2 linked regions of the Styela clava genome follow. The protein of the gene in region 2 purifies or fractionates together with the protein of the main gene of each other region. This does not show direct contact. Links are inferred from orthologs where the notes say so. Each region holds a gene or a part of one and is shown on either strand. Other genes may lie near its edges.

What was found.
Region 1: the proteins of NADPH--cytochrome P450 reductase-like (region 2) and ER membrane protein complex subunit 4-like purify together in Homo sapiens (affinity purification with mass spectrometry; 3 studies listed by BioGRID and IntAct, with this or other methods). This does not show direct contact. The link is inferred for Styela clava from reciprocal best matches to the Homo sapiens genes POR and EMC4.

What each region holds. Positions count from the first base shown.
Region 1 is NC_135250.1:22,924,946-22,940,719, reverse strand, and holds ER membrane protein complex subunit 4-like, read right to left. Parts: upstream 7,977-15,774; 5' UTR 7,857-7,976; coding exon 7,323-7,856; 3' UTR 6,262-7,322; downstream 1-6,261. Other genes in the region: protoheme IX farnesyltransferase, mitochondrial-like, read left to right, coding at 736-1,102, 1,560-1,684, 2,460-2,595, 2,695-2,862, 3,545-3,818, 3,899-4,034; DNA-directed RNA polymerase III subunit RPC3-like, read right to left, coding at 8,151-9,650. UniProt on the Homo sapiens protein: Part of the endoplasmic reticulum membrane protein complex (EMC) that enables the energy-independent insertion into endoplasmic reticulum membranes of newly synthesized membrane proteins.
Region 2 is NC_135261.1:17,876,560-17,893,406, reverse strand, and holds the start of NADPH--cytochrome P450 reductase-like, read right to left. Parts: upstream 7,642-16,847; 5' UTR 7,582-7,641; coding exon 7,403-7,581; intron 7,031-7,402; coding exon 6,967-7,030; intron 6,564-6,966; coding exon 6,446-6,563; intron 5,868-6,445; coding exon 5,707-5,867; intron 4,883-5,706; coding exon 4,758-4,882; intron 4,151-4,757; coding exon 3,956-4,150; intron 2,842-3,955; coding exon 2,725-2,841; intron 2,188-2,724; coding exon 2,069-2,187; intron 757-2,068; coding exon 575-756; intron 500-574; coding exon 350-499; intron 225-349; coding exon 76-224; intron 1-75. UniProt on the Homo sapiens protein: This enzyme is required for electron transfer from NADP to cytochrome P450 in microsomes. It can also provide electron transfer to heme oxygenase and cytochrome B5.

The sequences.
Region 1 (15,774 bases), on a different chromosome or scaffold from region 2:
TGTTGTACTGGCATGACCTTGTCCAATATATATTCATCAAATTTCTTTAGCGATGTTCCCATGAGAAAACTTACAATAGTATAGGTTTTTTATTGTACTTGGATTTGTTTATCTAGGTTGTTTAAGAATTTTCAGTGGACAATCATATCTTTTATCTGTTTATAGAATACTTGAAATTCAAATAGGATATTTATTGGGGGAATGCATTATAAATGGATATATATATATTCATGAAGGCAGGTTTTGAAAATTCATATGAGATCGTTCATTGAATTAATCCTTATAAACACGAATTTATGTCAAACGTTGTACGATATTCAAACTGTTCTGGGCATCCCTGACTAGGAATATTTGATTTCCTCACACAAGTAATAAATAATTTTATGAAACCAAATTCATTTTTCAGTGCTACTATAATGTATGTTCTTCCATACTATGATGTGAGTGCCGTGAGATCTGCCTCAAGCTGTGCTATAGCGCGAGGGTTACTTGGGGCAGAGGGTTAATTTCTCCATCAAGACACCCTAACCCTCACGCTATTACTCACTTGAGGTCTTTGGTAGCACTCACTTTTTTCTTTTTTTAGTCAACTGATCCTCGGACAATTTGTGCTAACCTATTTTGACTTTTCTTTTTCATTTCTATAGAGTTAGTAGTATTTACTTCTATAGTACTTCTTCAATCATCCATTCAAACAATGTGAACTATGTTTAATATGATAACACTGCGGCATAAATGATGATTTTTCGTGTTTCTCATCTTGGAAAACGATGTTGTAATATCGGCAGACTTCAGTTTGCATCTCTCAGCATTTTACACCCAACTTCAAAATGTACTTCAATATCTCAAACCTCAACTCTCAATAAAACACTCATTAGATTCCACTATGATAAAACATTTGAGACAAAGAACTTGAAATCTGATAGAGTTAAAAAGATAGACACAAGTACTGTTATCTTCCCAACAGTAAATGATGTCATTTCGAAACCTTTAAAGAATGAACATATTTCTGTGTTACAAGATTCAACCTGGGTAAAGATAGACACAAAATGGCACCAGTATCCCAAGATATATATGTCTCTTTCAAAATGGTATTTAACATGTAAGTGTTCTTCGTATACTTTAGTAATTTGAACATTCAGTTCAGCAATTGCCTGGGGTAGCCTATGCATTTACTCTCATGATCATTTAATCAAAGGGTATAGGAAAATTTTAATATTGTTTAGAGAATAGTTAATGTTCCAGATAGATAGCTTGAATATAGATTTGAGGAGGGTTTTGGAGTTGAAATCATTTGTGAGTTCGGCTCCAGGAAAATCATATTTTGATAATAAAAACCATGGTGTTTGCAATCTTGCTTCATTATACTGTTAAAGCACTAAAATGGATGCTAAGTTTTAATTTGAAATTTTGACTTTGAAATGAAAGACTGCAATTTGGTACCGACAGAATTCCGACCGCTGTGCAAACATCCACGTACAGAATTTGAAGAGGACATACTTATGCAATGGTTACCTGCTTTTTTGTTAATAAAAATAACACACTGACTCTGTTTTTAGTGTTTGTTGTCATGACTGCTGATGCAGGATACTGTCTTGCTCCCGTCACTTTTGATCATCATTTATTTTTCTTTGCCACTATGGGTACGCTACTTTGCTCATGTGCAGCGAATACCTTCAATCAAGTACGTTTCATTCACCTCTGTTGCTTCTTTATGTTATTTTTTTATATATTTATAATCTGTAATTGTTGAAGTTTGCCAAAGTATAATGCATTTTGTGGCTTGCATAATAAAGTGTCATTTTGGCATGTTTGCATACTTCACACTTAAGGATGAATTAATTGCATAGGACATACTTATCTAAAAACACATTCCTCAGATACTACTTGTGCATTTCCTTATTAGCAGTAAATCCTACACAATATGGCGTAGTAATTAATATCAATACAATATCTATATATCAACTGTGGAAGAACCCCGGCTCGCATGCCCCTCGCGGGAGTTTTTATGCGGCTCTTCTCGCTAACATAATTATTATTCAAATTTAACTAAGAGAAAACCGTAGAACCGTAGTGTTTTTTTTAAAATTAGAGCGTTAGAAGAAGTTTTCATCAATGATTGAGACAAATTTTGTTTTAATATGAAAATTGCTGCAGTGTGGAATTTTAAATTTAAATCAGTCAAGCGACAAATCTTACATCACAATGGTTAAATGTTTGTTGCTGCGTTGGCGATGATGCAACTTGATTGCGATTAAGCTCAGTTACAGTGCGATATTATTTATTGTTTTCATGTGTAAATTTCTTTTCTGTTAACGATATTCTAATAATATAAATTTCAAAAATTATGCGGCTCTTGTACTCAAAAATTGTGCTCACCCCTTCTATATGTAAGTTTTATAACTTTGATTTGGTGCAGCTTCAAACGGTATTCCGAGTTATATTATTATTTTTTCTAGATTGCAGAAGTGCCATATGATGCACAAATGGACAGAACAAAGAATCGTCCTCTAGTTCGCAATGTTATATCTCCTCTCCATGCAACTATATTTGGGATTTCATCTGCTATAGCTGGAGTGTCTTGCTTATATTATGGTATGACATAGTATTCATTTTAGCTTGGCTATAGTTTAGCTATATACGGCAATATGCAATTTAACATAACTGATGAGTGACTATTCCGTTTGTTTTCAGGTGTCAATGGTCTTACAGCAGCGCTTGGTCTTTCTAATATTATATTGTATGCTGCAATATACACTCCATTAAAAAGAAGACATTGGTTGAATACTTGGGCCGGATCTATTGTTGGTGCAATTCCTCCTATTATGGGATGGACAGCTGCAACAGGGTCTTTAGATCCAGGTAATAGGAATTTTAATTTTCAATTTGTTACTATTTAGAAAAGCTACATTTGAAAAATGTGCATTATCCCAAAATAGTATCCAATAAATTTTAGTGTTTTCTTGTCTAGAACCTTGTTTGGAGTCATGATATAACCAGTGGTGGGATTCAATTTTAGGGAATGGTTCTCTTTTAAACTCACAAACAACAGACTACTCCTTTCGGAAAATCAGGCCGAACTTACAGCCCTACAGCTACCTATATGTCATATTTACTAATGTATGTCCCTATGTGAGCTGCTTTTATATGACATGCTTTTCATAAATCTCATAGTACATAACTTTCAAAATGCTAAATATAACACTAATCGCCAGATCAAGAACAATTTTGGGCGCTCCAGAAGTGTGTGTACCAATATTGAGCTGACTGATTTTGTTCTCCTACTTTACAAGTTGTATAAAGGAACTGAATCCTTTGGAATGAAATTATGGCCTAACTCTGACCTGGTACACACACTACGGGAGTACCCAGTTTTGTGCGAACCCCCTGAATCCCTCCACCTGGTATGACCACAATAAAATATTTATATTGCACTTTTGAATTTGGAGCAGAAAATTCTGGAATATGATATAATTACTATTCCGATGGAAATGAGGACATGTATTGGTTGACAAATAAAAAACTGGCATTTTTATTTTAACAGGTGCTTTTATTCTGGCTGGAATTCTGTACTGTTGGCAATTTCCACATTTCTTCGCATTGGCTTGGAGGAGAAAGGGAGACTATGCCAGAGGATCCTATCATATGTTACCCCTTTCTCACCCTGAAGCCACTAAAGCAGTAGTTTTGGGTCACTCTCTTGCACTTTGTGGGTTATCTCTTGCCGCACCATTCACCGGAGTTACTTCATGGGCATTTGTTGCAATGGCAGCTCCTTTCAATGCCTGGTTGATGAAGGAATCTATTCAATTTTACAGGTAAACATTTAAAAAGAATTGTAAAATTTTTGTGTCCCTCAATTTCAGTTACAATTGTATTTTCAAATCTTGTTCAACAGGAAAGGGAACAGTAACAGTGCTTCAAAACTCTACAAATGTAGTTTGTATTATTTACTTGCCGTCTCACTGGGACTCGTAATTGACAGAAAAGTTATATCTAGATTAAAGAAGAAAAATGTTGGAGAATTAAGTTGAAATCAATGATGCTCATTTTAGAATTGCATTACAGACATCAAATGTTTTCATTCTTTAAATTAAGTTCCGATGTGTGCTTTGTCTTATTCTCACCTGAGCAAATATATTTGCTTCCGTGTTTTGAGTTGACTTGTTTGACTATAACATGGGTTCTGGTTAGAATATATGCAGAATTAGGGGTACTTCGGTAGTGTTGTGTACCAGGTTAGGCCATAATTATTTTCAGATTTTTCTAGTTTCAGTTCTATTAAGAGTTCGGGAACTGTCTATGTTAGCCAAGTGAATATACCCATTGCCCATAAGCTTCTGTCCTTCTACACAACATGATTCAAGTAAAGTGGGCGAACGCAATTCTGGAGCGTCAAATCAGGTTATTGTACTCTGTATAGGAAGCATATTTTGTTTCAAATGAGGGTTCGTCCACTGGTCTGGGGTTAGGCTCATCCAGAAACTCAACGGTATTAATTGATTTGGTAGAAGCCTCCAACAATGCATTATGGCAAGAGATGTAGGGACCAAACTGATAACCCTAACAAGGTTTAATAATAATTTGAAAGATTTTTACCCAAATTGTGTATTAAATGTTTCATGACACAATTGTTAATCTTGTAAATCAGCAAGAAGTCTAGTTGCTATTTGCAACGCCTTGCAAGAGGCCGCCGAAGCCATGCGCTCAATTAGAGTTAAAATTTTCTTCCCTGCCTAACCACAACTTTAATAGCAGTGTTGGGTTGCTAAAGTGACTTTAAAGTACTGCCATTTGAGCAAAATCAACGGACTCTACTAATTCTTGGATGAGGATGATTCAACATGTCGTTTAGTGCTGTATTAGAAAATGGTTACAGACATAAGCTGAGAGAATGCTAAGAAATAGTTAACATTGGTTCAGTTCACAATGGAATGTTTCATGTCTCGTTGTCAACATGACTCAAGTGTGTATGGATGCTTGCACTGGAAACATCAGCAATGTGGGTTTCTAACACTAAAATTTGACAGGACTTGACTATATTGAAAAATTTATGGGAGATTTGCTTACTATTGACCCATTGGGAGACCCAACACTAATAACACATTATCTGGAACAGTTGATAAACATTTTTTATTCTTAACAACAACAGATAAACATCATAAAATGCATATTCAAGTCTTGCTTTTCAGCAGCAAAGCAATCTCAAACTTGAGATATGCTTTTAAACTCTGATCGTCAACCTCATCATCGATAGCTTTCAATACTTCTTGCCTGCCAGCGTTAACACCTCCATAATACTCCAACAACTCTTCTGCATACTTTATCCAAACACAATTCGCACATCCTGTCATGCAACAAACACCCCCTATTTCAGGTCGTTTTTTGTTTTTTTTAGAATCATTCGAAGGCGGCTCTGTTGAGACAGAATATGAATTAGTCATTGATTGGAATATTGCCCTTCTCCTCATGGCGATGGGCAATGCTCGTCGACCGAACATTCGAGTTGCAATCATTGCTTTATCAAAGTGTAGTAAGATGAAAATAGTTCTTCACCTTTTTCAATATGTCTAGTAGTAACAAGGACCACTGTTCTCATTTCACGACGCCCACAAAGGCTTTGATAAAACACATTAGGAATGAACTTTTTCAGTTCTAAAGAAAGTCATCAGGAAAATCAAACTCTTGGTAACAAACATTTGCTGGATTAGCACTTGTTTGGTTATTCACAATTTGTCCAATATTAAATGAACTTTTGTACGGATTAAGCCAGGTTATATCAGCTGTCAAATATGGTCCAACTCTGTCTCTTCCTGCGCAAGACTTGAAAATCAATTTAGAGATTCCTTTGTTATTTCCGTCAATCAAAATACTATCAGAGCACCTAAAAATGAAAGGGTTGGCAATCGACTGAAAAAATATCGACTCATATGGAAGATAAATAGTTCCTGGGTAGAAAGAAACCACGGTTCCTTTTTTAATAGCTCCACGTCTCACAAATACTCCTCTCCCAGCTCCAGTGAGTGTACTTTTTCGCACTTCCAAGGAAAATCCACGAGATCTAACCAGTTTCTCTTCACTTCGCTCGAGATTTTTAAATGCTTTTGTCACTTGCTGTAAAACTTCAGCATCTGATATAATTTTATCGGAGTAGGTGTTCGTTACTCTTGCTGAAGGCAGTGATTTGTTTTTCAATTTAATCCAAGGTACAAATCTATACTTATATGAATTCCATTTTTTGATAATACTTTTCATATCATCCTGAATTGACAAATTGATTATTTACACAATATTTAAGAAATTATTGCAAACAACGTTATATCTAAATACAACATTTATACAAAATTCTGACAAAACACATAGAAGCAGCATTCAAAAAATCTATGCAAATAGTCTCATTAAAATATTCAATGGTAATCCTATTCTTAGCTTTTAACAAGGGTTATATTTTGACAGTTGTTAAATGTTCATCAAAAATTGCACAGATTGACTAAATTTAGAACTCCCGAGCAACAAATGTGAAAATTGTATTACCATGTACCAAAAAAGCATATTACAAAAAGTCATGCATGGACCCCCGAACTTATAATAGTTCAATGGAAAACCAAAATGAATCAAATCTTCAACTTTTCGCAAATAGTATATTAATATCCTTACATAAATCATGGCAGTCTATGGAACTCATAAATTGCAATATGCTTATTGCTAGCTAAAACCCAGTCATTCAGACCAACTGTAAAAATAGTAATTTGGTATAGCATACACAACATTATTACACCAGAGAAATGATGCATTGCTTTTTTTAATCATTTATGACTAAAATGGATGAAACCATCAATTCAAGTTTATATATAACATGTTTATCTCAACCAGAATTATATCGAAAAATTTTATTTAAAAAACTGTCAAATTAGTTATCAAAATAAAACACTACATTAATCAAATTTCAATTTTTTGGTGGGTGATGGGAAAGATGTGTTTACCGACTATACTTTGGCTTATTATACAATTGCATTTGTTGCCATTATTCAGGTCATGGTAAAATAAACTCAAAGATTTGATTTTTCCAGAAAGTATTAAATAAATAAAAATGAGCAGCATACGACATGCCAATTCAAAATAAAATGGTGTTTTTGATATGACTTAATGAATTTTGGGAACTTCATTATTAAGATTTAATAATGAAGAATAATCATATTCTTACTACAATGATTTTATTTATCACTTTCTCTTTAAGTATAGGCTATACAATATGTCACACATTTTGAACCATATCGGTGACAATATGATTGTTCTGCTGGGGCAGTATTTCACAGCCAACGCTATATTCCAACACCACCTGAGACATATTCCTTTCTTTCTAATGGACTAACAAATGCAAGCCAGTCTGATTCATGCGTTGGTAAGAGACCCATACTGTGACATTTATATACTGCAAGACCAATGGCCATAATATTTCCGAGCATAAAAACAAGTGTGAGTAGATAATACTGCCGAGCTCTTTCCAACATTTTCATTGTGTTTTTAATTCCCATTAAAGCTTGAACTGGACGAAAGAACATCATTCCCACCATCATAATTGGAAATATTGAAATTGTGTTTCCAGACATATACATGAGGAAGACATTCATTGGAAGGCTTTTGATTGGGGCAAGAGCGACATCCCAACCCTTCTTATCGATCAATGCTTGGTCTGTCCCCCCTCCCCCTCGTACAGTTTCTTTGGCTTGGTGACGATCAGAACCATATCCAGGAGGACTAGGCAGTTCTTGTTGTTGTCTTTCACCTTTACGTAATGTCATGTCAATGTTCCATTTTCCGTGCCGCCTTTTTGCAACGCTTTCACCTTGTGACATCTTGTTCTCTCCTGATGTAGTGTGATTTAATTGAAGGTGGATTGTACAGTTAATGATATTAATTATTGGATTATTCTGTTTGAAAAACAAATGTTGTCGGTTTTAGTACAATTTCTAGTTTTCTACAATAGGCAGTGGTTTCATAGGAAAAATTGTCAAAATTAGTTTGTGAAACTTGAATTTTAAAGCAATTGCAAAAAATATGTGCTAATATTATTATATTTTAGACACAATGCCTAATATGAAATAACACACAGTTATGTCACTGATAGAATATAGAAAGCACCAATCTGATTATGATCCCAAAAATGAATTATACAGAAAAGCAGTATTTTCGGCTTGAATTTGGCTTTTTCCTAGTTTATTGCAACAATGTTCTAATTTTTGCAAATGGTCTCGTTCTGCAGGTGTCAACATTTCTTCAATTTCTTCTAGCTGATCCTCTTCAGCTTGTTGTAAATTTGCTTTTATCGAATCAATTCTTTTCCGTTTCTCAAGGAGTCTTTTGTTGCCTTTAACTTCATACTGTTGACGAGCAAGAAGATTTACTAACATTTTATTTAAACGAGATAACAATGTTCGAACCACTTTTTTTATATTCACATTGAAAAGATAATATGTGCGAGAAGGTGCATGGTCAGCAGTTTTCGGAATTTCTTGCATGACTAGCAAATTTTCCGCCCACATTTGATATAAAAGTTCTTTTGCTTCTTTTGAAGGAATCATAGCAAAATCTTCGACTTGCTTCTGTTCCATATGATTTTTTAACATAAGAAGTTTAAAAATTCTGCAGCATTTACTTCCAAATCTTTCTTGCACATAAGAAAGAACGTTAGCATGACAAATCGCTGTGATGCATTTCTTTATATTAACAGCGTATGTTCCGCTGCTGGTTTCGTCAGATTTTTGTACGAAGTTGCCTTCGTCATTCTTCATTATATTTAGATATTGCTCGATGTATTCAACAGATAAGTTCATATTTGAAGGGAGCGCATGCTTAATTTCATTACTGGATATTGGTTGAGTAACCTCAGCGTCACCAGAAGTTGTTACCTCGCTGATTCTTAACAATGTTCTTACAATTTCCCCGCATGCAACATTAAATTTTTGTGTTACACCTGCAATGATACTTTGATCGCGAAAATATTGAGAATAACGAGCATAATTTATCGAATAGCAAGTACCGAATGCATTTTTTGTTCGCTTTTTCTGAGGAGCATCATTTTCACTACCAGAATATTTTCTTTTTCGATTCCCAGCCGGAAATTGTGAATCGCTATCTCTACTTTCAGCTGCGTCCACGTCACCAGTATCTTCAACATTAGGTTCGACTAAAAGAAATCTCGCATTTGTGAGATTCTCGAAAATAGTTTTAACTTCATTCTCATTTACTTTTTCCGTTGATTCCTGAAGTCGTTTGACAACTGTTTCTAAAGTTGACTCCATAGTTGAAATTCCGTTGACAAGAATCTCTTCTATAATCAATTCTCCTGGATCACCATACAGTAGTTTTGTTGTGTAAATTATTTTTGGAATTTGTAAAAGTCGCAATCCAATTTTCATATCAAAGATGTATTCAATTCTCTTTTTCTTTTTAAAAAATCTCACAAGTTTGTGTTGAATTAGCACACATAGTGATTTCTTTACTAACGATGGTTTGAGTTTTGTGCTGATTATAATTTGACCTAATGGTTGTCGTCCATTTTTACATAAAAATTTTCCAACATTCGACACAATGGATCCAAAATATTTCTTCAGCAAAAGGTTACACAAATCACATTCCGCTTGAGCCATTATAGTTTTATACTGAAAACAAACTTCAGAACTCAGCAACAACTCAATTTGATATTTGAACCTCTATTCAAGAAATCATATGAGTTAAGTCTAAAGCAGGGCTACTCAACTATTTTCACAACTCAGCTACACAAAACTTGAAAATTACCAAGGTTCGGTCATTGTAAAAATATATTTTAACTATGCAAAAAATACTTCAAATGTTTTGTTTGACAAAATACAGGAGCAATACTCAATATCGCGATTCGCTGCCAGTATGACAAGGCTTCTGTAGCTGAGCCCACTTTGCTGAAAAGATATATATAAATCTGAAGTTATTCGCCGCCATAGCAACCGTAATAATATATCTAGTTGCGGAAAGAACTTGTTTTTTATTAAGAAAAACCACAATGTCTGAATGTCCATAAAAATTTTAGCAAACAGATGCGGTCGCTAATAGTTCAGTTTTTACGCCACCATTAACATCTTGCTGGATAGGATAGGATTTACATATTTATCCCGGGGGAGAGGAAAGCCGATAAGACGGCTTATTCATATGGCGAACCACGGCCTCTCGTCCGGTTACCATTCCAAGTCGGGTATGGGATTAGATTTACTGTATTGTTTGTTTTCGGAAGCATGGACTTGGTGGTGGAGGAAGCCGTTGCTGATTAGACAATGCTAGGCAGTCGATGCTCTGAAAAAATTATAGCCTATTGTTATGAGAATTTTATCCTCAGTGGTTTAGCGGAAAACGTATTACATTACAAAATGAAATAATGTCAAGAAGTAGCTGCGGTCCAAATTAATACTCGAAAGATCCGCCAGTTGAGTAGCCCTGGTCTCGGTACCGTACATCAGTGCTAACCCAGCCCACAAATTTAATGCTGGGCTTTTAAATTTAAAAATTCAGCGTTATTACAGTATTAAGCTCAGAACATTACGGTACCGGTACAAAGGTCATCAATTATTTGATTGCTGGTCACAACTCCACAGTTTTGTGACAAATGTACCGTAATTTTAATTTCTGAATTTAGATTAGCACGATTCAGCAATACGGTACAGATACCAGAATACGGATTAAACTAAATACCGGTTCGCGGTACGGGTATCAACTTTCAAAACCGTATGTTGACCTCAATGCACATACACACGACACGAAAAATCAATGCCGGTTATCCAGCAGCGACACCCGTGATCAATGCCTAACTATGATACAGGTGGAATAGAAAGAAGTCGAAAAACACCGGTAGATAGGCTAATTAAAAAAAATTGATGTCAAAGAACTTATCCGTCACTTACGAATCATTTCTCTTCAACCTAACGCGCAGACCAGACGGACAAATGCCGGTTCCAGATGCTTGGTGGGCCCAACGACTGGTGGGCCGGCGGCTCAATATGAAACTATGAATGAAAACAGTTTATTTGCAAAAAAATTATCGAAACAGCTAATGTAGGCTACAACAAACATCTATTGCAGTGCTTTCAACCTTTTATCAGTCCGCGACTCACTTTTATTGCCATTCTTCCTGTGCGACCCACAATGAGGTGTTACTAGTTACTACTGTATAAGAGAGGTAGGTATCCACATGCAATTTACCATTAATGCTAAAGTTGAGCTTGCATATTGGATATTATCAGACCAAGACGTGTTTCGTGAGATTCATTGTAAAAATATATCATTCCAGCGACCCATACCCGATCTTCATCCTCTCACACCGGAACCTGGGACATGGACATGCCATAAACTAACTAACTATATTGTACCTATCGTCGTTGTATCGTACTTCTTCGTCTTGTGCATTTTACTAGAGTTTTATTTGTATAGCCTATTTCATGTCTGTTGTCCTATTATACCGCAACAGTCTTAAACTGCTGTTATGATTGTTAGGGCTGCATGTCGCACATATGTGTATCGAGCCAGTAAGGTCTTGAACATGTATCCCGTCTCTGTTTTACTGTTTAATTATTATACAGATATTGTTACATTTTTGAGGCAAATTGACATACATACTTACAAGTTGGGGCTTGATAGGATCCAAGCGCATGCGCAACGTAGCATTGAATTTCAACATATTGTGTTTTTGGCTCAAAGTCATTTCCTGCCTCAATGAAATCACATTTGGCCAGACTAGAGTCATATTTTCTCACTACCTTTTTTTAAAAAAAATCATCCATTTTTTGATTTACAAGACTCAAACAAAGATAGTCCGATACTGATATTTAATATGCTTCTTGTATTCATTTTTATGCAGTCTAGAACTAATTTATGCAGTCTAATAGTCAGTGGATAGCTTTCGTAAATTTGCAGTTGCAACTTCTCCTTAGCGAGCGTTATGACAGAATTATATAGAAATATAATTATATTATATTCAACAACAACAACAACAACAATGTTTTATAATCTTTTTATTCTATTGTAAAGCACATTTCTGAAGCGATGAGCGAGCTAAGTAACTCAATTGCCATTGCGAAATGCCATTTAAACGTTGAACGACTGGCGCTTTTTAACAGGGTTATCGTTAAGAACGGTCAGTCATGAAATATTTTAAGTAGCATTTCACCATAACTTCAAAAAGTAACGGTGAAATGCCACTTAAACATTAAACAACTGGTGTTTTTTAACAGTGTTACTATTAAAGAAGGTCAGTCAATAAATATTCTAAGTAGCATTTCATCGTAACTTCAAAAAGTAACGGTAAAATGCCATTTAAACGTTAAACGACTGGTACTTTTTAACAGTAATACTGTTGAAAAGGTCCGTCGTTATATGTTTTGAATAGCATTTAACTGTAACTTCAATACTTAAAAAAGCGTCATTCGCCACTAAATCCGATATTTGTTTCTTCACACATACTGCACCAGTATTTTGAAATGTAGTAGTGTACCGTTACTCCTTGACGTTCAATATTTATAATGAAATACCGATATCGGTACGGTAGCTGTACCCCACTCAACCACTCTAAGCATAACAGTGTTAATTGAGCTTAATCAGGACATTTGCAGTTTAAAGACCCTGAGCACTTAAGACTTTAGTGCACTATGTATAAGAAGAAATAATAATAATATACAGCGCGGCGCGGGGGTGTGGCTCAACGGGCTAAGCGTTAGGAATACGCTCGCCACCGCACCTCTAATCACTCTGCGTGGGTTCGCAGGTTCGAATCCCATGCAGGGATGGTTATGTGCGAGAGGATTGCTGGACTCCTCGCCGTCGTTGGGTGGTTCACGTAACCGCTGGTCGGTTACGGCTTCCTCCACCACCAAGTCCATGCTTCCGAAAACAAACAATACAGTAAAACTAATCCCATATACCCGACTTGGAATGGTAACCGGACGAGAGGCCGTGGTTCGCCATATGGATAAGCCGTCTTATCTGCTTTCCTCTCCCCCGGGATAAATATGTAAAATCCTATCCTATAATAATAAAACTATTGTCATCTGAAATTAAAGATGGAGTTTCAGGATTCATTATTGATTGAAGGCCAAATTATGATATATTTTGGAAATAGTTCTCATGCCCCAAACATTTATAGAGGGAAATATGATACTTGAGAAAAAAGCAAAATTTAGTTTAACGGAGACAATATTGGGGTTTGAGTCGTCAGACCAACTCTAATTATTTCATTAAACACTGAAGCGCAATTCAAAATTCTATTATAAAAAATTCGGCGCTCCAGAAGTATGTGTATCAACATGGAGGTAACTACTTTTGTTCGCCTACATTACATCAAGTTATATAAAGCGACTTTTGCCTATGGGCAGGGGTTATATTCACTTGGCTAACACAGACAGTCCCCGAACTCATAATAGAACTAAAATAAGAAAAATCGAAATAACATTATGTCCTAACCATAACCTGGTACGCATACTACGGGGTTACCAAAAATTCTGTGGTGCCACCCTTTCTTTGATGCCTTGGGCACGTGCTTATATAGCGTAATGGTTGATCCACCCCTGGGTATATGTGGCTCGTTTTGTAGGCTAGATTATATTCAAGTTCGGATAATGCGTGAGACATCACGATATTTGTTTTATGGTACGTTATATATTTATTTATATATATATCCCTAAAAACTATAGTCGTAATTTCAGCAGACACAAACAAAAATCTTCGGTGCACCGGATCCGGCCCACGGGCCGTAATTTGACAACCACTGGACTAAACGTAGGAACTTGAAAATTAGTCACATCTAATTTGACTATTTTTAGCTAATTCATTATGTTTCAGAAGTTATTACACCCATTTTCCATCTTTCCGAAGGGCCTAGAACGTGCATAATTTTCAATTGCCTACTTTTAGCCCGTCCCCTTGCCGACCGTATCCAACACTGTGATTAGACACAAAAAACATGTGAAGGAACGTATTCATTCTCTTGACTGGCACTGCAACGTTTTTCAATTTAATCCTAAGTTATGTTCACCTTCTAGGCAACTCTATAGTTTGTTGTTGTTTTGTTCCGTGTCCAAGCGACCAAACTAAAATTAGTTATGATGGACTGATACTCACTGACCGTAATTCCCTGACCGCACTGAGGTCAGATGAAAAGTAATATGTTCTTATGGCAGGTATTTTCAAAAATTATACATGCTTAATGTGAAACCTGATGACAGATATATATATATATATAAATTTCTACATTAGTTATAAGATGATCTGAATATATACTTTTGCTAGCATAAAAAAAATTTACCGCCACCTTCTCCAAATCAAAGTTAGAAAGAATATGAATTCAAATGCCTTACAATATATTTTTATATATATTCGTTATTGTACGCCAAACTCGGATCACAATAGATAGCTACCTGGGCACACAATCTGCGCTAATAATGTAATTTATTTTGAGAGAGTGAAGTTGAATATTTGACGGTAACAAAAATATCAGCAAAATGTCGATTGACACAATTTGAATTATATATATTATGGTAAGACTTGTGAACAGCAATCCCTTTTGCAAGTCTTCAAGGATCTTCGTCCGTTATTACTTAACAAATTGCCATTTTCAACTGTTTGATCTCGTCTTCCAACAAGAGATTAGGGAGTTTCCGCAAAAAGTTCTGCTGATGGTAATCAGGAGAAACGCCTACGCTGTTTTTCTGCCTTTGTTCAAATCTAATTATTGCTTATTGGGATATTACACCATTGACTGCAAGAAAATTTTTGTCGCGCAATACCATTTTGAACGAGACATTTTAAGAAAAAAGGTTGTTATAGATTTTGTGTTCGGGAACGTATATATAAGTGCTTGCTTGGGACGTAATATTTCCGAGTATTATCATTGCTTGCAAGAATGAAGCAAAAAGTTATAGCAAAGCTTGAGGTTTAAGTACAGGTGGCGTGTTGGCTTTAAGAGAAAAAATTATTTCAGTCATTGCAAAAATATTATCGACATGAATTCTTGCGTCAATTCAAATCCGCTATTTATTCCGTTCTGAAATTGTATTTTTCGAAGGTAGATATATAAAACGGCTTATCGGTTTATTATACTTATATAAAGCTATGCTGTAATCAAATGTGACATCAAAAAATTCAATTTTGAAACAAAACCCTGGTATGAGAATGGGTCACAGATTATTATTATTTATCAAATTAATTTACATTTAACCAACTATTAGTTGACCAACTTAGAGTAATGATTGCTCAAAAGAAAATCAAGTGGGAGGAAAGTTTAGTGGAAAAGAAATTGGGAGTTCAGGGCAGAAGAACTTATCAAGCTTCATGGAAGCGATAAGAATTTCACACAGATTAATACTTTCGACAGATTCATCAGATTCTAAAAATAGTTACCTATACCTGAAAAAATTATAAAGTTTAACTACGCCTAAAATAAAATATCTTGGTATCTTGAAGAACCGTTATAATTGCAGCATGTTTTGCAAAGAACAATCATTTCGTTTTTTTAACATTTATGGATTATGCAATGACCATAATTAGAAATGATTTCAAAGACTCGTTTCATGCATAATTCATACTTGATCATCTTTGATCTGGTTTTCTTTATTTTATTGATTCAACGCTTCACGTGAAATATATTTTTTAGAAAATAACCTGCGATATTTTTCTAACGTTTCGCCCGTGCCACGAGAATATAAACGCACATAAACATAGTCATAAAAGGTGGTGCAAAATTTATAGTGAATTAGG
Region 2 (16,847 bases):
TGATTCCTCAGTATAATACTTATAAAAAAGGAACTCAGAAAGTTATCCTAACACAATAGTTCAAAAAATTCTTACTTTCTGACATAGACAGGTACATGATGTTTCATTTCACCAGCAGGAATCTTATCTTTGAGATAAGATGTGGCAACACCTTTGATAAGCCGATTAGCTTTTGATGTGTATTCCACTACGATTGCACAAATATGAATGCTTGTTGGATGAGCCTGCGATAAAAATATTTTTGTAATGGAATCTCAGACCTTATTAATATAAACATTATAACTAATGTTTTAAACTATTTCAGTGGCCCCCAACCTCTTTCAAGGAAAATTGACAAAAAAAAAATTACCTTGGGAGAACTAGCGATAGAATAATATCGAGCTTGTAATCTTGGCATCAATTCACACAAATGATCCATAGCAGGCATACAGGAAGGTACTTCTTCTAAAACAGCCAGAATGTTACGTCTCGAATCCACTACCCACTCTTGATACTTTTTCTGTTTCATAAAAAGAACAATTAGAAAATAACTGAGGTCGTGACCTTACCCACTGTTTGTATCATTATTACCCACCTTTCCTTCTGGAGTGGGGTCGGATAATGACTTCAGAAAATCCTTGTCTTTTTCGTCAGAGCAGTAATCAATAAGTTCATGGATGACATTTGTTCGTGGTGGATGGATAATATCAAGATAGTGAGTTAAAGCAGTGCGATAAGACGTTGGGCAAGGAAACGGATGCTTTTTGTTCGATTCCTCTGAAAAATGTAAGACAGTTATTCATATATGGCAGGCACAATATAGAAACCTCGTGAAGAAGTATGTACCAAAATTGAAGCATGAAATACCATTAGATGGGGTTTGCGTAATTGAATCAACTGTAAATTAGTGGTTATGTGGTAACCCAGCGAGCGGCGCATCATGCTAAGCGTTAAGGATATGCTCGTCATCGTGCTCATGATTACCCTGCATGGTTCATAGGCTTGAAACATTATAGTATAAATATATGCGAATGATTGCTAGATTCTTTGCTGCCATTGGATGGTTAACATAACCGCTGGTCGACTACAGCTTCCTCCACCATCAATAGCAACTGATTTCAAACCCAACATGGACATGGTAACTGATGAGAGGCCGTTTTTTCCCATAGAAATAAGCTGCCTTATTGGCTTTCTTATTCTGAGCAGATTAATCTGAAATCAGATTTTTATTTTTATATAAATTTTATGTCTCAGCTACCCTAATATAAACTGTGTAATAAGATATGATATCCTGCGAACAAATATAAAGCTATATAATTTTTTACCACAAATAAAGAACAAAACAGTAAATTTCTATTATCCCCCAGCATTACCAGGAACATACCAAGTTAAAGAGGTAGAAAGAAGGAACTTCCTGGTATAAAATCGTTTATCAGCGAACTGTATTAAACATATAATATTATACCCTTGTATAATAGTATAAATTTCTGATCATTAGTATTTAGACCAGTGCCGGAGGAGCTGGACCCAAAGCCCTGAAGCCGTGGTGTTTTGTTGGAGCTGAAGCCAGATCCTTTCCAGCTTATAATTTTCTTAAATTTAATTTCTAACTTTTAATTTTAACACTGTTTTAAAAAGTTGAATTTATATATTCAAAATTTGATTCCTAAATATGAAATCCCAATATGGTGCTTTTGAGTCCTGCTTCTGCAAAACTGCATTTGGGTGAAGGATTATTGTTAGTGGTCATATAAAAACCCTGATGGCTGTGGGGCTGAGCCCCAGCTACAGGGTGTAAAAATGAAGTTCTGGAGTAGGAACCATTGAGATTTTAACTTAGCTGCGCAGCCCTGATTGAGACAGAAATTAAATATTGATATGAATATTCAATATTATGACACGAACATCAGAATTCATTTATACATCGATCCAATAAAGTGATTTTTAACTAAAGCTGTAATTTTAAACTCTCCAGTTGTTTTTAAATTCTTACATAAAAAAACCTCGAGGAGTCATGAAATAGTTCGTAGCAACAAGTTCACTGAAAAACTATATTAGCACCCAGATGGTGATTTAAAAATCAGCCTACCATCAAGATTATTCAGTGAAAAAATAGTATCAAGATCTATTCCAACTCTCTTTCCGATAGCTTCAACGATCGTTGTATCATTGACTGGATAAACAGCTACATGGTCTCCTGTCTCATATCTGACATAGAAAAATAATATAGCCTACATGATATTTCAAGTTTGCAACACAAATGAATAGAAACAAGAGCTTACTACAAAGCAGTTGAACGCATTAAATTGATTGATATAGGCTCTGAAATTCTTCCCTTATTAAATTTTTATTGCATGATATAACATAGCCTAAGATACAAGTACATTGTATGTACATATATTGATTATGCATAAATATGCACTGTGTCTGTAAAAAAAACAACACTTTTACACTTTAAAGAAATGTTAAAAAATTGTTTTGATAATGTTTCTGGCTTGTGAGACAACCTTTGAAACCAAGGGCTTGCTCATTCAAATTGCCTATGTTCAGAAAAGACAATTTTGAAGCCTTTTCGATTTTATTGTAAAAAAAATCCAGAAATTTTCAGTTAAAAGTTAGAAAACCATTAAATAGGGCATTTCGAATAAATAGGCTACAAGATATAATTCTCCTGAAGTTTCCTACAAAAATCTAAATCAACAAAGTCGTCACTAAATAAATAAAATTGAGGCACGTGCCGGTTACCTTATACGTGTATCCGTGATATCAAATTCAATATGCATACATGACCTGTCACCACCATTGTGCAATTCTCTATTTACATTAATAGGAGAAAGATATGGATTTTTCGAATCATATGGTCTGAAAAGAATAGGCAAATTAAGATACGATCTATTCAAGTATTATCTACGATTCAGTCTTATTGGTATGATAAAACCAAACATAATATGTGTATCTAACATCATTGTGCCATTCCTAATGAAGTTTGAATTACACATCGTCACGGCTGGTTCAAATAAGAAAATGTTAATGCCACACAGGGCTCAGTATTTGTGGTTTGTACACAAAGATATAGGTCATGTTTAAATGAAATAAAGGTGCCCTTGTACTTTATCTTGCTGTATAAACTTGTTACATTTGTAGAATGCTGTCAACCTGAGCTTGCAAGTGATAATGTGCAAATTGTGATACTCTCGTAGCATGTGTACCAGGTTAGGGTTAGGCCATAATTTTATTCCAGTTTTTCCTTATTTTAGTTCTATTACGAGTTCGGGGACTGTCTGTGCCAAAGTGAATATTACCCCCTGTCCATGGTTTCTATCCCTTTACACAACTTGATGTAAAGTAGGCGACACCTCCATATTGGTACATACACTTCTGGAGCAGCCAAATTGTTACATATCATGATTTTGTTGCATTATAGGACAAAATGAAATAACATTATCAATATGTTAAATACTCATCATATGAACAATGATCTAATTAACACTCTTTGTCATGGAATAAACAAAAGGGAAAATTGCAGAATGTATTCAGTGTACTTATTTGGGCATTTCACTGTAAATACATGGACAACGAAAAAAACTAAAACTAAGGCTTATTTCATTCTAAGAGGGAAATAAATAGTTTAGGTTTTATAATAACGAGTTAAGCATTTTAGTAGTCTTCAGAATTGTTTTTTCCTATTTTTTCAGGGGGAGAAGAAAGCAGATAAGACAACTTGATGACATTGCGTAACACGGCCTCTCGTCCGGTTACCAGTCCATGTTGCGTATGGGATTGTGAAACAGTTTTTTGTTTCATATGCGTTTTACAGATTTGAGTTCAATGCTAAACAACATAGTAGACAATGCTTACATGAACAATTCTAAATCGCAAAAAGGCTAACAATCGATTCATGACATGATATCGTTTCCATGGCAAAATAATGTTCATGACAAAACATGAAGAAAATCAAGAAAGCAATCTAACTTACGGTCTTTGATTCTTATAAGACTTGATTCTGGCAACTTCCCCTGTGTAAACAGTTTCCATGTTTAATACATCAGTGTCATGAACAGTTAAAGTATAAGCACGGAAAGAAACATCTTCCCCAGATGATTCTACACCAAGATTTTGACAAACTGCTGGCCAAAAACCTTCTTTCCACGTCACAAAATCTTCTTCAATGCTGAATTGAAAGAGTTGATTATAATATCAACATTTTTCAATACTATTGTTTAGGAGAACTGCTCGAACAAGGTTTAGGGTGCTAACCTAGGACTAAAAAAAACTGGTTGCTGGGAAATTTACAAGCAACTACCAAATTGCCAAAAGCTACCAGAACTATACAGGATTACCCGCCAGTAAATGCTGATTGGAGATTTCAATTCAATACTACCAGGAAAAAAGATACAATGCTTACATTTGCTGCTGAAAAATCAAGATTCTTTAAAAGATAATAATAATAAAAATAAGAAAGATAAGATAATAATTTTAGCACTGGAATAAAAACATCAAAATTTTTGGTCTGAGTGTGATCTGAGTTGAAAGCATATGTGGCCAAAATTTAGCCCCCTTTTAAAACTTGCATTTTCTCACCTTGATTAATGTTAATTTCATTTTAAAGAAAATAAGATTTGACTAAATATTTCAAATTTTAAATTATTCAATATACAACAGCTTCAAATGTTAGCAATTTAAGCAAGAGAAAGTTTTATGAATAGCGGACGCTACGGAAAGAGAGCGAAAAAGACAGGATTTTAATATTTTGACGGAGTTTTGAATGAGAGACTTACTTGGCATCATCGTCACCCAAACCAAGAGGATAAACCCGTTCTCCGCCCAGTTCCTCGAGACGTTTGTCAACAAATTTGGCCATGGAATTGTAATGTTCATATGTACGATTTCCAAGACCAAACACCTGAACAAATAATCATGATTGCAATAAACTATATTTTACTCACTGTATCATTCAAATTTATAGAGAAATTGGCCTTTATAAATTTTGATGAAATTCAAACAAGGAAATGACGATTCTTTAGCAATTCAGATATTCCGAATTAGTGTTTTGCCAATAAAAATTGACTCACTCAGTGCAACAAATTAGAAATATTTCCCAAAAAAGAAAACTAAAAAAAGAAAAAATAGCTGAAAATGGTACTCCAATAAGAAATTGTTATTGGTATCATCATGATGGGCTAATAGTCACATCAATTAGCTCAGTAATTAAATAATAACTAGCGACTTTCCCATAACAATCAATCATTGTGTGCAGTGCGTCACTTATGACTAGAAACCAGGATATCCTTGTTCATCAATACCAGGAATAAGGAGAAACGAAAATGAGCAAATTTCCGCCAACAAACTTGATAACAGAAATTCCATCACGAAGCATTTATGATTATCAATCCAGTGACATAGAAAGGTTTTTATTGACTGATATTTTTCAAATTATTACAAAACTAAAAATCCAACTGGTAACATTTTCAAGTAAAAAAATAATCCATATTATTCTTATAGGCGCTCCAGAAGTATGGGTACCAATATGGAGGTAACTAATTTTGTTCACCTATTTTACATCAAGTTGTGTAAAGGGACTGAAACCTATGGGCAGGAGGATATTCACTTGGCTAAGACAGACAGTACCCGAACTCGTAATAGAACTAAAATAAGAAAAATCGGAATAAAATTATGGCCTAACCCTAACCTGGTACACATACGGGAGTACCTTCTTATAAATCTTACCGCAAATTTCATTCCCTTCAAATCTTCGTCACAATTTTCCAACCATTCATAAAAATCTTGGGCATTGTCAGTTGGATCACCTTCCCCATATGTGGCCATACAAAATATAGCAAGAGATTTTTCTATGTTGATAACTTCAGGCAGTTGATCCATGCTACATTCTAAGTAAATCATAAGATACAAAATTATTCACAAACCTAAAAAAAAATAATTAAAAAGTTCATCAATTTTTATCCTCCCACTTATTTTCAGCGTCACACAATTTAGAATATATATCCTGCTATTTAAAAAATTGCAACTTTTTTCAAAACTTCAGTTTAAATCTAAACTGCTAAAAATATAGCTTTTTCAAATTGCACTTACCGGTACCATATTTTGAATTTTATCACCTATATTTGCCAGTCACACCTAACATAACTTTGGATTAAAGTATGGTAATAATTTCCTTTCTGGTTATAACAGAAAATCTACTCTCGGAGAATCTATCATCTTCATACAATATGTAAGGCGAAAAAGAGGGTGTACTTGGCAAACAGACATTTAAAAAAATGAAAATCCACTAAACAACTGATTGCTCGAATACCACTATGCACTCGATTCAAAAAGGTACTAATCACGTTTTCAAGAACATAAAGATCATTCCAGCATACATAAACAGCCTATATCACACTCTAATTCATTCGGGAATCAATTGAAACATTATCAACTATGAAAAAACAATGGAAAACCAAGATGTTACCTTCTGGATCAAGAACTAAAGCTTTCATTCCATATCTTTGAGCATCTTTCATCAATCTACCAGCAAATTCTTCAGCCGTACCAGTTTGTGATCCATAGAATATTGCTATGTTTCGACCCTAAAATAGAGAGGAAATCAGGTTAGGAAATACAAAGAAATAAAAATGAAATCTCAGAACTATATACCGGTATGTAAAATGAGGCAATGGTTTTCAAGTCGCACAGTAGTCCAGTCTTATTAATATTATTTTCATGTTTTTTTTAAATTTAATGAGCGGTCCAAAATATCTCTGTTTGAAATTAGGGATGTTCCCAGATTAGTTTAGTTTCAACAAATAAATTAAAAGCCATGCTATCCAAAAGTTCTTTATTGTTTAAGAACTTAAGATGAATTAAATCACTATTTGATACCTAAAATTTACCATATTTATAATGGAATCATTATTTACGAAAAATTTCTTTGTCAATTTCTCACTTCAATCATATTTAATGCAAAATTTTACACAGTAAAAATACACTTACGCCTTTTTTCATTCGTGATATAAACCCATCCATGAAAGAATCTGTTCGAGTGAGTGTTGGTTGGCTGTGAAAATATAGTTTCATTTTGTAATATTAACTGTAGTTCAAACTTGAATAGAAGCAAAAAAAGGATATGAAAAAACTTTCAAACTGAGAATATTCCTAAAGTTATTAAGAACTCACTATACCAAATATAATTAATTTTCGAATGTCTGTATAAACACATGCAAAACATGCATACTTTATAGCCCGATTCAATGACCCTAAGAATTGTCAATAAAGATATAAGGTAGTTAGACACATAAGCTTGACCAGTCCATTACTCACAATTGGATAAAAAAAAATTATAAACATATACAGTATATAATTGTAACCAGAATTGGTATTCTCAGATGTACAGTATGTAAGTTAGCTAATTGAATTCAATCCGACTTACACGACAGAGAGCTTTCGAAATTCGTCATCTTTAATAGAGTTATCACGACGGAAAAAGAACCAGTAAACTCCGAATCCAATCAGAGCACTCAGTAAAAAAAAATCTAAAGTTGATATTAATGGTGCTGAAGAATCTTTCGGCATAGTAGCATCATCAGCAGCGTTAGTTTCAGGGTCCATTTGATAAGAATTCAAACAACTAATTAGTAATGTTAAATATTTGTATTAACCTGTTTAAGACCTGTTTGATATATCAGTATAATATATATTATTCATATCTTTTTGATACAGTGATATATCGTTAATAATTTGCGAAGAGAAAAGAATGCAAGTTTACTCATTCATATAGCAGTATCAGAGTACTGGAGTATAGTGAAACCTACTCTCTTCAGACTCTTGCAATTTTGGAATCGCGTCTGAAACCAGCTGACTGTATCATATCACCAGAGGATAAAAATGATACCTATTGTACCTATTGTACCTATTGTATCTCGGGTCTAGCCTTACAGCCTTAAATGAGACGTGAAAATACCACCGAAACTGCATGAATAACGCTAAACAGAAATGTGATGTCAAATTTTTATGTTTTTAAAATAAAGTCTTTCTGGCGAGCAATGAAATTTTTGACAGATGCATTCTGATAAAATCAAATCCACTCAGTAGTCAATGTCCCATGCCAAATAGGGTATACTGGTATAGTGTTCCGCTGATACAGACCTTTATATAAAAAAATAGTTAAAATTTTGCCGGTATTTTTGATTCACAAATTTTTGTTCGGCATCACTATATCACTATTTAGTTTGGCATTATTCAACCACTTGCAGTGTTTACTTCGCTAGACCCTTTCTCTGTATCTTGGAGCACTGGTACGGTACTTTGAGGTGACAGTACGGTATTTTGACGACTCCAAAGTAGAATACCTACGGTCATACGGTACCGGTACTGACCTACGGTACCTACACACACACAGACTGACAGACACATCACCCGCGCCGATAACGCTGTATGTCATCCCGGCAATGTTATCAAATCAAATGTATATTTAAAATAAATAAAGATTTCCGAGATCTGTCCTGTGACCTTGCTATGACAAATCCTGCGTAGCAAAACGATAACTACTCATTCATACTAACTTGCTAGTATGTGTTGCAATACTGCAATCGTCATAAGTCTGTAAGTCATTTGTAATCATGTCACGAATTTGAGCGTACGCTCTGAACATTACATTATATTTCATTGCATGTTTTAACTGTTTCGTTCTTGTTCTTTAGATTGTATTTTACTTAGATTGCTTAACTTGGTTGGCCTTGTACTATAGTTAATACTTCATGTGAATTGATTTAAATATGGCGCTGCGAACAGAAGACAGTTGGAGAGATTTTTTCATATCAGCTGAAATACCTGCGGAGGAAGCATCAATATATTCTAGAAAATTCATGGAAAACCGTATAACTGAAGTCACACTTCCTAATCTATCTAAAACAGATTTGTCTGATTTGGGTATCCAAGCTGTTGGGGATATTTTAGCCATCCTCAGCCACAGCAAAGCAAAAATGACACTCGAAGCCCACACACAACAAACAATAGATGCACCAAGAAATGACTCTAATATCATAAAGCCTCCTCCACCCAGAATGCCGCGGATAGAAATAAACATGACACGACCTCAATTTCGAAAATTCAAAACAGATTGGGAAGTGTTTAAGAAAATGACAAGACTTTCTGATGAACAATACAGTTCCCAGTTATACAACATGTGCGATGAAGCAGTTCAAACAAGCATAATCAACACAGTAACGGACTTTTTCAGTCTCGATGAAGAGGATATTCTTAAAGCAATTGAAACAATTGTTACACAACGTTCAAACCCCACAGTTCATCGCATGAACTTTGGTGCAATAATTCAAACAGAAACAGAATCTATTCAGGAATTCATCACCAGACTGAAGTCAGTAGCAGTGGACTGTGAATTTTCTTGTCCTCAATGCAAACACAACCTATCGTCACACCACGTTCGAGATCAATTCATCAGAGGTGTCCATAGCACAAGCCTCCAGACTGAATTGCTCGCCAAGGCCAACCAATTTAAGACTTTAGAAGATGTTATCAAACATTCAGAAGCCTTTGAAACCGCTGTAAGAGACCAATCAAAACTTCAGAAAACCGCAGAAGTATATGCGGCACAAACTTACAACAAACAAACACCAAACACCCGCGAATCGCAAAGGCCATGCGCAGGTTGTGGAAGTCTATCTCACGGATTTCCAGGTTCAAGGAACCGTTCAACAAAATGTCCTGCCTGGGGGAAAACTTGCACCAACTGTAAACAGCTCAATCACTTTGCTCGAGTTTGCCGACAGGTGAATCAGCCCCAGAAAAACCAACCACAAGCAGAAGCTAATGCCCTACTAGCTCATGTACGTTATAACGAAAAACGTCACTGCTTTACTACAGGACAACATGGAATGGATGAAATTCAAGCAACAGTACATCCATTTCCTCAGAATCGCAACTCGAAACCATGCACGGTACTAATATTCCCAGATAGTGGAGCAAACATTTGCTTAGCTGGCCCAAAGCATTTGCAGAGCATGCAAATCAAACAAAATCAGTTGCTTAAATGTCATAAGATAGTGACGGCAGTTGGAGGATCAACACTGACTTGCTTCGGCTGGCTGCCGGTCAAATTTGTAATTGGTGGACACTCTACCACACAACAAGTTTACATTTGTAACAAAGTGGATCGTATGTACTTCAGTCGCCAAGGCTGCATTGATACCAGAATCCTTTCTAAAGCATTTCCTTACCCTATGGAAATGGGAGCAAACGTGGCAAAAATTAGCACAGCAGACATCCCCACTAGTGAGAATTCATTGGGCCAATTACCAAAACGACCAAGAAATTTGCCATTCCCACCAATGGACACGAACGTCCCCCGACTGGAAATGTCATTATTGGCGGAATTTGCAAACACTGCATTTAACAATGTCACACCATTTCCAAAAATGAATGCACCCCCAGCCCACATTCACCTAAAGTCTGATGCTCAACCATTTGCACATCATACTCCTATTCCAGTACCATACCACTGGAAAGAAGCAGTGAAATCCAGTCTAGACAGAGATGTAGAAAGGGGTATTATAGAACCTGTCCCTGTAGGGCAACCAGTTGAATGGTGCAGCAGAATGGTAACAATTGCAAAGAAGGATGGCACACCCAGACGTACTATAGACCTCCAGCACCTAAACTCCCAGTCATTGAGAGAAACTCATCATTGTCAGACACCATTTCAACTGGCATGTCAGATACCTCCTAAAACTAAAAAGACCGTACTGGATGCTGTAGATGGATATCACGCCATAGAACTGGATGAGGAAAGTCAGCATTTAACGACTTTCATAACTGAATGGGGAAGATACATGTACAAACGAATGCCTCAAGGATTCATTGCAGCTGGAGATGCATACACAAGACGTTATGATGATATTATAAACAATACACCTCGCAAAGTAAAATGCGTTGACGACACGCTACTATATGATACAAATATAGAAGAAGCCTTCTTCCACACTTGGGATTACCTAGCAACATGCGCAACAAATGGCATTGTACTGAATTCAAAGAAATTTAAATTTTGCAGAGACACAATCTCATTCGCAGGATACAACATAACACCAGATGGCATAACACCATCAGCAGAACTTCTCAAAGCAATTAGAGATTTCCCAGTCTCTAAAGACATCACTGGAGCCAGATCTTGGTTTGGTTTAGTTAATCAAGTTTCATGGGCTTATTCAATAAGTGAAATAATGTTACCTTTTCGTGAACTCATAAAGCCAAACTCAAAATTTTACTGGGATGAAGCTTTGGAAAAAATATTTGAAACATCAAAACAATTACTGTGTGAGACAGTTAAACAGGGCATACGTTCCTTTGACACAAAACGTGCAACTTGCCTCCAATGTGACTGGAGCAAAGATGGGATCGGATACGTTCTTCTTCAAAAATACTGTGATTGCTCGATCGATAAAGTTCCTATTTGCTGCAAAGATGGTTGGCATTTGGTTTATGCCAACTCCAGGTTCACCACGCCAACAGAAAGTCGATACTCACCCACTGAAGGAGAAGCATTAGCAGTATCCTGGGCCTTACAACACGCACGAATGTTTACCTTAGGTTGCCAAAACCTCATTGTGTCCACTGACCACAAACCCTTATTGGGAATCTTTAAAGATCGAGACCTGGATAGTATTAAAAATCCTCGAATACAAAACTTGAAAGAACACACCCTGCGATATAGATTCACAATGCAGCATTGCCCAGGGAAATGGCACAAAGCACCCGATGCTTTATCACGCAATCCCACAGCCTTGGAAATAACAGATACGAAAAATGCAGTGATGGACATAGCACGAAATGACCCATCATCTGATGAAGTAACAACAACAGAGCAGTGCGAAGCTCGTGTTCACGCAATTCAACAATCTGTCATCAACTCAATAAATGATGACGATGCGCTTGTGACCCTGGATCACATTAGAAGCCATGGAAAGTCTGACAAAAGCTACAACATACTCATCAAAACAATTGAGAATGGATTCCCTAACACAAGACATGGGACACCGCCTGAAATCCGGGATTATTGGGGTGTGAGAGATCGCCTATCAACTAAAGACAATGTAATACTAATGGACTCTCGCATAGTTATTCCCACTCCCCTTCGCAAGACCATACTGAGGTCACTACACTCTGCGCATCAAGGGATCACAGGCATGAAAGCAAGAGCAAACCAATCAGTCTATTGGCCGGGCATGAACGCCATGATCCGAAACTTTCGATTTGGATGCCTCACATGCACGAAATACGCTCCATCTCAAACTAAAGAGCCAATGATATCGAGCCCGGCGCCACAGTATCCCTTTCAACACATATGCGCCGACTACTTTGTACTGGGGAACCACTGCTACCTATCTGTTGTAGACAGATTTAGTGGTTGGATCAGTATTTTTCATTACCCACCACATCGATCAATCACTAAAGAGCTCATCAACTCATGTCGTGGGTTATTCACATCCTATGGAGCACCAGAAGAATTTGACTCAGACGGTGGACCTCAATTCACCTCATCCGAATTCCAGAACTTTTTAACTGATTGGGGAATAAAGCATCGAAAGTCCTCAGCATCTTACCCACAATCTAATGGACGGGCAGAGCTCGGAGTTAAAACTGCCAAGAGGATCATACGTGATAGCACATCGCCTGACGGTTCTCTGAATAATAATAAGGCAGCACAGGCAATCCTACAATACAGGAACACTCCTCTGCAAGACATTGATCTCAGCCCAGCTCAGATACTTCTGCATAGACAACTGCGGGATCACGTTCCTACAAATCCACAGCATTACCGTCCCCATCCACAATGGATTATATCTGCAGGGGAACGTGAGCAGAAACTAGCTAACCGCCATCACATCATTATCGACAAATATAACAACACATCGAGACAACTCCCTCCACTGTCAGTTGGGACAACAGTCGTTATACAATCACAAGTCCCAAACAAGCCACGACACTGGAACAGGACTGGTCGAATTGTAGAAATCCTACCTTACAGACAATACAAAATCAGAGTAGATGGCTCGGGAAGAGTGACTATACAAAACAGACGATTTATACGACCTTGCATCATCATTCAGCCTCCGCCGATCATGCCATTCTCACCAACAATTCCCCCCAGCGGAGAGAGAGATGAAGACATTGGAAACTCTGGGAGTCATAATGCAGGAACTACTCAAGACACTCCGGTGGAAATACAACCAAGTCATCATGTGAGCCCATCGCTAACCAGCAGAGCTCCAAGATTGCCTAGGGCGCTTCAGAGGTTACAGCCCTACAACAAGCCAGGACGACTTGAGGAGAACTATAATGTTAACTGAACTGAACAAAACATTTCTTAATTTAAAAGACTCTGCGCCTCTGCTGGAGGGTGGAGATGAACATTACATTATATTTCATTGCATGTTTTAACTGTTTCGTTCTTGTTCTTTAGATTGTATTTTACTTAGATTGCTTAACTTGGTTGGCCTTGTACTATAGTTAATACTTCATGTGAATTGATTTAAATACGCTCGATAAAGATATCTAGAGGTCGTAAGTCAAAATGAAAGTGAATTATTCAACGATGAAATTTAGATTTTATACTAAATCAAATCTTTTTCAGCCCCCCAAAATATGGCACTACGGGTAGTATGCGGGAGTGTATCATTATTCTATGCACACAGAACACGCCAGAAAAATTGGACACGAAATGTACGGTACATATGAACGTTTTGCTAAATTTTTGTTGTAGATGCGGGAGATGTTTCCCGAGCGTCTGTTTTCTTGTTCATATTCGTAACAATCACCAACAAGCGATAAGTCAAAATGACCAAACAATGGCAATTTGTGCAGTCGCTCAGACACTTCTTCATTCAGACTGATATTCGAGCAATGGTTGTAAACATTCGCTCGTTTTTGTGTGATTTGCCAGGTTTAAATTCTATTTACAAAAATTAGTTGTGAATCAAGTAATTCAATTTTCATTATGTCATCCGTGGAGCTTTAGTTTAGTTCAATAACCAGAAATTAGTCCCGAAAAAGCTGCGATAGACTTAGCTAAAATTAGCTATCAGTACATGTGAGCCTCACGTGGTTAATCAGATATCTTGGTGAAAATGAGAACTTTGAACATGGGAATCAGTTTTTAAATGTCTGCTCTCCAAAACACTCGTAAAAACCACTGACCCGCGGGTCACAAAGTGACCCACCGCGTTTTATTTGTGACCCGGCGAGCGAAGGCACGAAAAAAATAAAAAAAAATGCTAACATATCAGTGATAAAAATTGATAAAACCGGCCTTAAATTAATCTAACAATCACTAAACTATTATAATGTACCGTCAGTTGGACAGTCAGGGAGGGCTGCGATCGCGCATGTTCAAAATGTTGATTTTCGGGCCGGTATGGTAATTTTCAAACCCCTAATCTTGTACGCATGTATGCACCGCTGTGTACCGTTATTCAGCTATTGGACCTGACATCGTTTATGAAATAACAATACTATTGAGGGAGGTTGTTCATTTCTCGCAACGCCTGTCTTTTTTGGAAGTGCATCTGCAGACTTTTTTTAGGGGTTATACAGGAAATAGATGCTACTTTGCATTTTATTAGTTTCTCGCCTACAATGCCGTTGTGAAAACAAAAACTTTCAGACTTGAAATAAAAATCTAGAAATCTGATATAACAATGGGGCAGTTTAAAAGTCGCTTAATGTGGTTGGAAGCTGATCGAAAATTATAACACTATCAAAGCGGAATTACCTCCAAACACTAGAACCGTAAAATAATTTAACGCATCATCCTAAACGTTTTTGGTAATTCATATGCGTTTTTTTCGTACTCCAATATCATAAAACCGAGTGCCATGAAAAGTCCCTGATAGAAGTTCTGCATAAGTAAAGCCCAAAACTACACCAACACCAGCTTATAAGATTCGTTTAAGAAGTTTCTTATAGATACAAACGTGAATTAAATATCTGTGACCCACTCTCTTCTGTTCCGCGATAAAATTATAATTTTTGACCCACTCTTAAAAAAGGTTCGCCATACCTGGTATAGGGACACACCGATTTTCAAGTAGCCCACGTGTTTTTTGTGATGTTGTGAAATATGAAATGATTAAGTTTGCACCTAACAGTTATACATTATGTTAATTTTTATAATTGTAGTAATTTTCTATTTGTGATTGTTTGTCTGAAAATTGAATTGTTCGTCATGAGTACAAGTCATGAGACGACTGCTGCCCTTTCGTGTTGCTGTTAGCAGTGATGAGATTGAGCCGACTCGCACCATTCGCTGGAACCTGGACTTGCATCCTGTTCTTGCTACTACTTTAATCTCAAGAAAAGTTCCTAAAAAATATGACTTTTTGTAGCAGAACCGACTGAAAAATATGACTTTTGTGATGGAACCGGCTGAACAAAAATTTGGATTTAACCACTGCATATATATATATATATATATTATAAGACTCGTGGTGGCTTGACCATGGTCTTACGTATCATTGAATACAGTATTTCTTCCATGTCTGATAATTCATCATTATAGTCCTAGACTAATACCAAACCTACAGTACATTTTGTGGAAATGTAAAAAAAAATTCGCACTAGTATATTTGGGCATGCTAACCAGAGTGTCCATTGTAAGCCAATTACTCGCTATCGATTCTAAAACAAATCTTTCAAGTTGTACACCTACACCCCTATGGTTAACCTAACACTAATTTATACTTAACATTGTAATTGTGTTTTGGCCATAAAAAATTCTACATTAGTATCATTCCACTTGATATATATCTTACTTAGGGTGACCATACTTTCAAATCCAAAAAGAAGGACAAATTGTTTGGTAAAAACACATTTCATCTGTGCATGATATATTATAATATATCTACTAAATTCCCTAGGATTAAATATAGAAGTGACAATAGACGAAGTGACGACAATGAAATAATACATCTTTGTCTTTATTATGAACATCTGCAGAACAATCGATTTAGATTTTAGACCAGGATTATTTGGCCGCTCTTTTAATCATCGTCAACATTGCTGTCAACATTTTTTTCAAAAGGCAAGCTGCAAAAAATGTCTTTAAAATTGTAAACTAAGTGAGTGTACTAAAACAGACTCAGAGGATGCTTTTGGATATTCTTCCCTTAGTTCCTTAGTAAAAAAAGGGTTTTCTTTTGGGCATAATCTTCTGACGTAATTTTCTGCCAAAATAGAAACTTTAATAAATTGCGAAATACGAGGTGAAATGATGTAACACCTAATTGCAGAACAAAACGATAAACCCCGTGTGTATGCTATCACGACGCAATATATTGCTTGTCATATCTATAATGATAGTTGTCATGTGTATAATGATAATCTACTGACTTTGAAATTTTCTTAACATATCAAACGCTGTTGATAATATCATAAAAGAATTTTAAATATTTATCCCGCGAAAAAAAGAGGACATTTTAGAGCGTCCTTGGAGGACGTAAATTTTTTAACGAAAGAAGAGGGCAAATCCTCCAAAAGGAGGACGTATGGTCACCTTATCTTACTAGCATTCATATTCGGGATTGTTTAAAAATCATTCTCTTATATGTATATTTATGTATAACTTATCTCACCAATTGTGCTTTTCATATTCATATTTTATGAAAATGATGGACTTCATCTCTGCATTGTATTTTGATGTAATTTACATTTCTTATTTGTTATTTAATTGCCTCATATCTTACTTTTGACATACCCTTGCAAACAAAAATTTGATCATTATAAAATTCTAGAATGTTCTACATTTACATTTAGTCATCTGAATTTGTGAATCTTAAACATAATAGTGTGAGGGGGGAGTTGAA